Daphnia pulex: one gene and its partner. Each later gene encodes a partner of the first gene's protein in a complex. Links are inferred from orthologs where the notes say so. Each region holds a gene or a part of one and is shown on either strand. Other genes may lie near its edges.

Region 1 (4,625 bases):
TAAAAGAAAGTGTCCTCTCAAGATCGTACGGCCTGATAATTACCTTGAATGTTTTATGCTGTGTTGTATGGAGCAGAAACGATGTCATCACAAAGAAAACGTGAAGAATGGAGGGAACTTGCGGCAAATAGAGAGGATGCCGGATGCCAGAGGGGGGAAAGGAGGGAGTTTGAAGAGGGGAGAGAGAGCAAAGTTTAAAACAGGAAACCAAATTCTATGGCTTGGTGAAACAGCAGGGAATGTCCAAATTGAAAGAAGAAAAGGGCCGCAAGGGTTTAAGGCGGCTGGGTGAGGAATGAAGAAACGTGAAATTATAGTCTCAAGTGATGTGAATTTGGCCCTTCCACCAAATCTAATAATGGTCGGATTTTCAGTTGCTTTTCAATTGTAAACGTCCAGAATTGGTCTTTTTAAAAGTAAAGAGCCCGGATTATTCTCGTGTTCACACTTCTCACACAGATATGTGAGAAGATGCCTCTAAAAAAATCCCTTCAAGTTTATGTTTTCCTCTTTCTCACCTATCTTCTCCCCATCCCCCAAAGCCCACCTCACCCCAAAAGTGGACATGAATAGAATATAGAAATGCTATGCTGTCAAAGTTTTGAGTTGAATCATCATCCTTTTTTTTATCACAGGAGGACGACTTGGTGGTCCAACTGGTACATCGCTATGGTCCAAAGAAGTGGACGCAGATTGCTAAGCATCTGAATGGCCGGATAGGTAAACAATGCCGAGAACGATGGCACAACCATCTCGATCCTAACATCAACAAGTCACCCTGGACGGAGGAAGAAGACCGGCTGCTAGCCAATGCTCATGAACAATACGGAAATCAATGGGCCAAGATCGCCAAACTTCTACCTGGAAGGTATTGTCATAAAAAGAGCTTTGCCGATTTATCCATTCATCACATGGGTGTGACAGGAGCTTGCCTTGACACTTTTCTTTATTCATGCCTACATACCCGTTATCTTTTGTCTGATTTCTCTATCCAGAACGGATAATGCCATCAAGAATCACTGGAACTCGGCTATGAAAAAGCGCTATGAAACAGATGGTTCAAGCATCATTGACACAGGGAAACGACGTGGCCGGAAGCGAGTTCGTCCTGCAGTGGATGATCACCAACAGCATCCTCACCCTCTTGCTTCGACTCCGGTTAGAATTTATTGAAAAGTTTTGCCACAACAACGAAATAATCAAACCAAATTATTTCATTTTTCTTAATTAGATGCCATTTGAACAATCTTGCTCTGCGGAATATGGATCGGAACATCCGTCACCCATGTTTGAGCATCAGATGATGTCAAGGCCGTGCAGTCAAAACAGTCGTATGTCGGTAGAGTTGGTACCAAACAACTTTAATCCATCACCGGCATATCGAGCCCAGAATTCACACATGGGCATGTCACAGCCTAAGCAAAGTTGCTTTGATACTTACAATGGGGCCAGCTTGTCAAACAACATTGGTGGCAGTGTCGGCAGCCATTCAAGAGCCCCCTCTGTTTCCTCGCCTGAAGACTTTTCCGATATCTTTTCCCCTCTCAAGTATGTTGAGAGACCAATTGCTTTTCATCACATCCCTGAGAAGAATGTAAGCTGACATTTCATTTTTCTCTGTGTGTGGTTTCACTAGGTACGTCATGGGTGAATTGAGCAGCCCGGAAAGTCTGAGCCCCAATCGCTTGAATCAAGCTCTGATCAGTGAGACCCTATCGGAGTTTCCACATTTTGAATTCGTCTCTACCAACACGACCGAACAGCCAGCTGTCGGCACCGCTGACAACGCACACAAACCAGATGATGTGATTGACGTCTATGAGACAAACAAACAAGGTATTGTTGAAATCCACTGACCTGATAAAAGATAATTTTAGATACTTGAATAAGCTTTAAGATTTACATGGTAACAGATTCCTGTTGATTGAATCAAAATTACTTCAAACGTCTAAAATGACATTTTTGTTTTATGTATTGCATGCACACAAATGAGTTGATAAAACTAAACTTTGCATTCGGTGGAGTTAATTTAAAGTGAACATATTTTAATCCCTTTTTTATTTATTAAGGAAATGCTACAAAGAACAACGAGAGCACGTCGTCAGAAAACAACACATCTACTGTCAGTTTGAAACAAGGCACTCCTCCTATATTGAGAAGAGGCAAGAGCCGAAGAGTGAGAGCCGACTCAAGCGGATATGATGGAACATCGTAAGTTTTTATCAACATATAACACAATTTTTTACATTTTACAATAAAAAACCGATCTATTTTCACAGTGAGTGGATGGGAACTTCCAACGAAGAGGCTGTTCCCGCCGATTTGGACCTCCGCTCAGATTGCGCAAGTTTGAACAAACCATTCCAGGAAATGCACTTTACTCCGCGTAAGAACGCCCATACGCCGATGAAAACACTACCCTTCAGTCCTTCCCAGGTATATTTTTGTTGCGTGTATTCCAACTTGCAGCCAAATTTTTAAATGTTTTTATGCATAGTTTTTGAGCAATTCTGTGTCAATCCACACGGAAGCCATCATGTCAACGCCTGTTTGTGCCTCAGCGCCCAAACCATCTGCGCTCTTGACCCCAGTGACCCGTGGAGGATGCGGTATTGCTGATTATGTTGCACTACGAACTCCACTTCGTAGAAATCAAGAACTCATCACTCGAACCCCCACTCCCTTCAAAGACGCTTTGGCAGAAATGGAGAAAAAGGGTGGACCTATCAACTACATTGTAAGTTTCGTAAATATATCTTACCTTATTTTAACTAAATTTTCATCTGATATTTTTACAGTTAAATACTCCAACGCGGTTTGACGACTTGAACGATATTATCGGCAAGGACACCGACCCATCCGATTCAGCTTTACATACGCCTGTTCAGGTAAGAAGATATTTACGCTTTTTCAATTGATTGACACTAAAATTATTCATTGCGTGTAGAATTTACATCAAGATAGCGGCTACATGACAGATAGGAGGCAAACAACAAGTGGTGGTAGCTCTGCACCCTGTGTGTCTGCTTCTACTAAACCTAATAACAAAGAGAACATTCCTGGAAACACAGTTTTAACCTCAAATGGTCCCGCTCCAAAGTCTCCAAATCGTAGAGCTCGCAAAGCACTGCATGCCACTTGGAGCACTCCTGGAAATATCCAGGTGCCCGGAATTGGCTGCGATTCTATTAGTTTCTTACCTGAAACCCCTGTAAGTCTTTTCGATTGATTCGTGTTAATACATAAATCATTCCCTAATCTATTTGTTCTTTGTAGAGTAAATCCTTGATAGGTGATTCGTCTGTCTTATTTTCTCCCCCCTCCATCATACGCGAAACTCTTCCGGAAACTCAAGATGGTGACGACGCTTTCGGACATCCACCACACCGTCCCAACAGCAGCATCGAAAGCACTGGTTCTCGCAGTCCATCAGAGAAGGTTTGCCTTTCGGAAAAAAATCTGAGATGAAAAGACAGTCCATGGCACATCATCATGTTCTTTATGCAGGTGGACGTGAGATGGGAAATGGTGGCGTGCGGGCGTACTAGAGACCAAGTTGAATTGACTGAACGAGCCCGCTCCTATTTGGTTATGGATCACAGACGTGGAGGACCACTTGCATGCAAAAAGAAATGCACATTTTAACAAAAATTTCTAGCTAAGAGATCTAGCGTTTGACACAATTTTGGTAGCATTTAAAAATGGATTTTGAAATTTTTGTTTTCTGTCATTTGCATGAAATTCTTTGTATTAATTAACGTACTCAACGACATCGTATTAGGGTACGGTTTCGTGTAAATTAACCTCTCTAATGATAAGCACAATCCGTTAAGAGAAAAAAATTAATTTTGACGGCGAACAACTTTGAACATGACGTGAACAGTGACCTAGTCTTGGCACTGTTTCTTTTTAACCTCTGGTATTGCTTACCGCTGCGAACAAAATTAGTGGATGAATTTTCTTTTACATAGTACCTTTCGCTAATAAGCTTTAAGAATATGTAATGGCTCCTTGGAAATTTGATTTTTCTTGTTTTCCTTCTTTTTTTTCATCTTTTTATTTTTATAACGAATGTCAGATATTAATCAATATATTACCCGTGCTTGGTTTCGTAGCTCATAAACACATGATCACAACATTTCACAGGAAAAAATTCAAAAATTCGGCTTTGGTGGAAGTAAGGAAAAACCATGAAATCTTTGTCTAATTAGAATGAAATGTGTCGTATTTATCGGTTATTTTTATATTTGTAGTATTTCTTATGTAACCTGCTCATTATTGTCTCGACATTTACTCGCAAAATTGATTTCATTTGTTCTTAAACTCACATGGAAAATACTAAAAAAAAATACAATTATATTAAAACCATCTCTTGTTCGAAAAGTTTGCGATCTTTTCTGTAACGGTTTTTTTTTTCCTTATCGAACTTTAGATAAAAAAAAAATAGATAATGGTGACTTATCGCATCAGAGCGAGTTTAAACTTTAAAGTCGACATGCAGTAACGCTTTTTATGGAATCATTAAACAGATGATTTCTTTTTCCGTGATACAATTTTAAACCGAAAAACTAATTTTAATGAGCATTTCTGACAAATATAATGTAAAGTATGTTAAAATTCTAAGA
Region 2 (3,203 bases), on another chromosome or scaffold:
GCGGCCTTGTGATGGTTCCAGCTCAGTATACTTCTCAGGTGATTCATCTATCTTGTGTTCGATTTAATAGGTCTAGGAAAGTCGACGAATTTGATTTCTTAGATATCACGTAATTTTATTGATGAAACGTTTATTTTCAATTTATTTTTAGAGTTCAATCGGGGTGAGTGGTTCGCCAGCAACAGTCAACTTCTCGACCATTACAACCAGTGCTGCTACTGTTGTGTCAGATTCTGTTGCTTCGCCGGTAGTATCTAGCGTCAGTACAACTTCCCGTTTATCCCAACAACCAAAAGCGGCTCCTCCGCCTTCTCCCGAGTCTGCTCAAATGTCGGCTTCTGCATCCCAGGCAAAAGCACAAAGTGTACTGGAATCGAACGGACTAAAGCCGCGCAAGCCATGCAATTGTACCAAGTCGCAGTGCCTCAAACTGTAAATTCATCCACTTTCTACTTCAACATTTTAGAAAAATAGGGAATTAACTCTTGGGCTTGAAAATTTTCAGTTATTGTGATTGCTTTGCCAACGGCGAGTTCTGTCATGGTTGTAATTGCGTCTGCTGCGCCAACAACTTGGAGCACGAAGAACTACGTCTGCGAGCTATCAGATCATGTTTAGATCGTAATCCACATGCATTCAAACCCAAAATTGGTGTCGGATGGGGTCCGGAGCCAAGACGTCACAATAAAGGATGTCACTGCAAGCGCTCCGGCTGTTTAAAAAACTACTGCGAATGTTACGAGGTTTGTTTGTTAAATATGTTTGAAAAAATTAAATATGCACGATTATTTAATTGTTGAAATTGTTCCGTAGGCCAAAATAGCTTGCTCCGCCATTTGTAAATGTATCGGATGCAAAAACTGTGTCGATCCTGCTGGTTCTCCGCCAGGACCTGGAGAGAAAAGACTCTCGAAAATGGCAGCCCTTCAAACTAATCCGAGCAGTTCTGGCGATAGCCGAACGGTGAGCAATCCAGCTTCTCACAATAGCAAACAAGAAGACCGCACCACTGATCCTCCTAAAGGCTTTTCAATACCTACAGCAGCTGGGTCGAGGTATTGTTTTTCACAATTTTTGCAACGTTCTTCACGTTATAACTGAAATGGTCGTGATTTTCTGCAGTAGGCCGCCGTTTAGTTTCATCACCCAAGAAGTCGTGGAAGCTACGTGTCAGTGCCTTCTTGCCCAGGCTGAAGAGGCCGAAAGGCTGTGTAAAACCTCTACTGAAACGGAAGGCCTCGTTCTTGAAGAATTCGGTCGATGCCTACTTCAAATAATAGAATACGCTTCCAAAGCCAAAGGTACTATCAAAATTGCCGTCAACGTCCAAAAAATTCAAGCGTTTAGAAAACAATTAACTCTCTATATCCTATCTCTCAGTCTCTGCCAGCCCTTGATGACACGTCGCCAACCGGGTCAGCAATCGAACAGAGATGGCCAACCATCTCACGGATTTCATTTCTAAATTTACTATGTACAAAGTACGGTCCCAATAGACTATCCCCCAAAGGGTTTTAAACAACTCGCGGCCGTTTAGCTTCAGTCAATTTTAGAGTGAAAATATGATCGCAGAACAATTTACAAATATTTTTATTTACCTTTCTTTTACAGTAAAATTATAACCTCTTGTACAGCTAGGTAAACAGTGAGCTGCATTGAAACTTTAAAGACAAACAACGATTAATTTCATTGAGTTTCAAGTGGTGGTAGCGCCCAAAAATAAGTCGTGATTTTTGCCAATTTTCGAATTCTATTGTCGAAGTTAAGTTGTTGAGCGCTACCACTAAAGAATTGAAATTAAAGGCTGTTTTTCTTAAAAATGTACTAGTAGCTTATTCTTTACCAATGTGCAAACGAGGTTTTGATTACGTTACTGTAACAATAACATTGTTTCAAGAACTAATTTTTTAATTACTAAAAAACATTTATAGTATCTTTTCGGCTGTGAATGTTTAACTCTTCGTTGAATAGTCTATTGGGACCATAGTTTTATACATTATAATTTTTTAAGAAGAAATTCAATGAGATGGTCGCTTTTGGTCGTTCGGCTTAAACTGACCCAAGCTTAGTATAAATGGAGCCGGGATTTATTTGTTGATAGAACTCCGTGCATGTCATAGATATATTAACCTTCTGTCTTTATTGTTTTGCTACTGCTTCTTTTGTTCATCTTGAGTTTTTTAGATGTAAAAATATGGCTTCAAGGGGAGATGATTTAGGACTTTTTGACGTGGTTCAAATATACCATAATCTAAGGCTTGAAGAGAGTGAGTTAAGTTAAATAGACACCAAATATAATTTTTTTTTTCTTTGGTGTAATTTTGGAATATTGGTGTAATTTTCATGCTCCTTTTTTTGTATAGAGCTGTGCATTTTGTATGGGTGATAGCTAACTGGGTAACCAAATCTATAGCTCATACCAAGTTTACTCGTTTTAACTAAAAAAATGGAAATCCAATGATCTATAATATTGATTACTTTGTAATGGTTGTTATTCCCTTGACTTGTTTTACTTTTGGTTTTTAAAATACAGAACGATGTGGGTTTTGTATTCGGGTTTTCTAACATGTCCTGGTTTTTCCTAGTTTTAATACTAGGTTAAAGTACTAGTTTCCGAAATATCGAAAGAGAGACTGCAAATCACGGTGAATTCGCATCGTTTAAAAATGTTTGATGGAATGTGTATATTGAGTCTGTAACTGAAATTGAATTAAGGAATATATAGCAATAAAATGATCCATTTCAAAGACTAAGAGGGAAGCGGAGGGAAGTAAAAATAAAACCGGGTTAGATTAGATTCGTTTTAATTTAGAAATACATTTAACATTTTGAACTTAATTGCTTTTCACTTTTTTCCCAAAATAAAAATTACAATTAAAAGCGCGTTATTTGTAAATTTTTTGTTTACCTACGCAGTACCCGTACTAAACTTGGAAACAGGGTGAGGAGGTCGAGGAGTGATCTCTTTTAGCGCCAAATAAAAACCCGACGCTCGGTTTCTTACGTGTCCCCGTTTTGTTTTGTTTTTTGTTTTTTTGCGATAACCCTCGTTAGAGTTATCGCAACTTCAATCCAAAAAAATCCTTGTCGTCAGGAAAGGTAGGCTTCCATCGCGATTTTTTATTTCAAATCATGGTGAATGGTTGTTCAACCTGAAAAGTTAGGACACAAAGTTTAGAAACAGAGCCGTTAACCACCTAAAT

The links.
Region 2: myb-related protein A-like (region 1) and protein lin-54 homolog share a complex: the UniProt entries of both Homo sapiens proteins name them as parts of the DREAM complex. The link is inferred for Daphnia pulex from reciprocal best matches to the Homo sapiens genes MYBL1 and LIN54.

The regions. Positions count from the first base shown.
Region 1 is NC_060022.1:6,353,636-6,358,260, forward strand, and holds the end of myb-related protein A-like, read left to right. Parts: intron 1-635; coding exon 636-868; intron 869-995; coding exon 996-1,158; intron 1,159-1,231; coding exon 1,232-1,548; intron 1,549-1,636; coding exon 1,637-1,836; intron 1,837-2,069; coding exon 2,070-2,211; intron 2,212-2,279; coding exon 2,280-2,436; intron 2,437-2,497; coding exon 2,498-2,737; intron 2,738-2,798; coding exon 2,799-2,888; intron 2,889-2,947; coding exon 2,948-3,211; intron 3,212-3,276; coding exon 3,277-3,438; intron 3,439-3,507; coding exon 3,508-3,645; 3' UTR 3,646-4,368; downstream 4,369-4,625. UniProt on the Homo sapiens protein: Transcription factor that specifically recognizes the sequence 5'-YAAC[GT]G-3'.
Region 2 is NC_060026.1:5,752,563-5,755,765, forward strand, and holds the end of protein lin-54 homolog, read left to right. Parts: coding exon 1-38; intron 39-151; coding exon 152-432; intron 433-505; coding exon 506-743; intron 744-813; coding exon 814-1,055; intron 1,056-1,122; coding exon 1,123-1,301; intron 1,302-1,380; coding exon 1,381-1,397; 3' UTR 1,398-2,551; downstream 2,552-3,203. UniProt on the Homo sapiens protein: Component of the DREAM complex, a multiprotein complex that can both act as a transcription activator or repressor depending on the context. In G0 phase, the complex binds to more than 800 promoters and is required for repression of E2F target genes.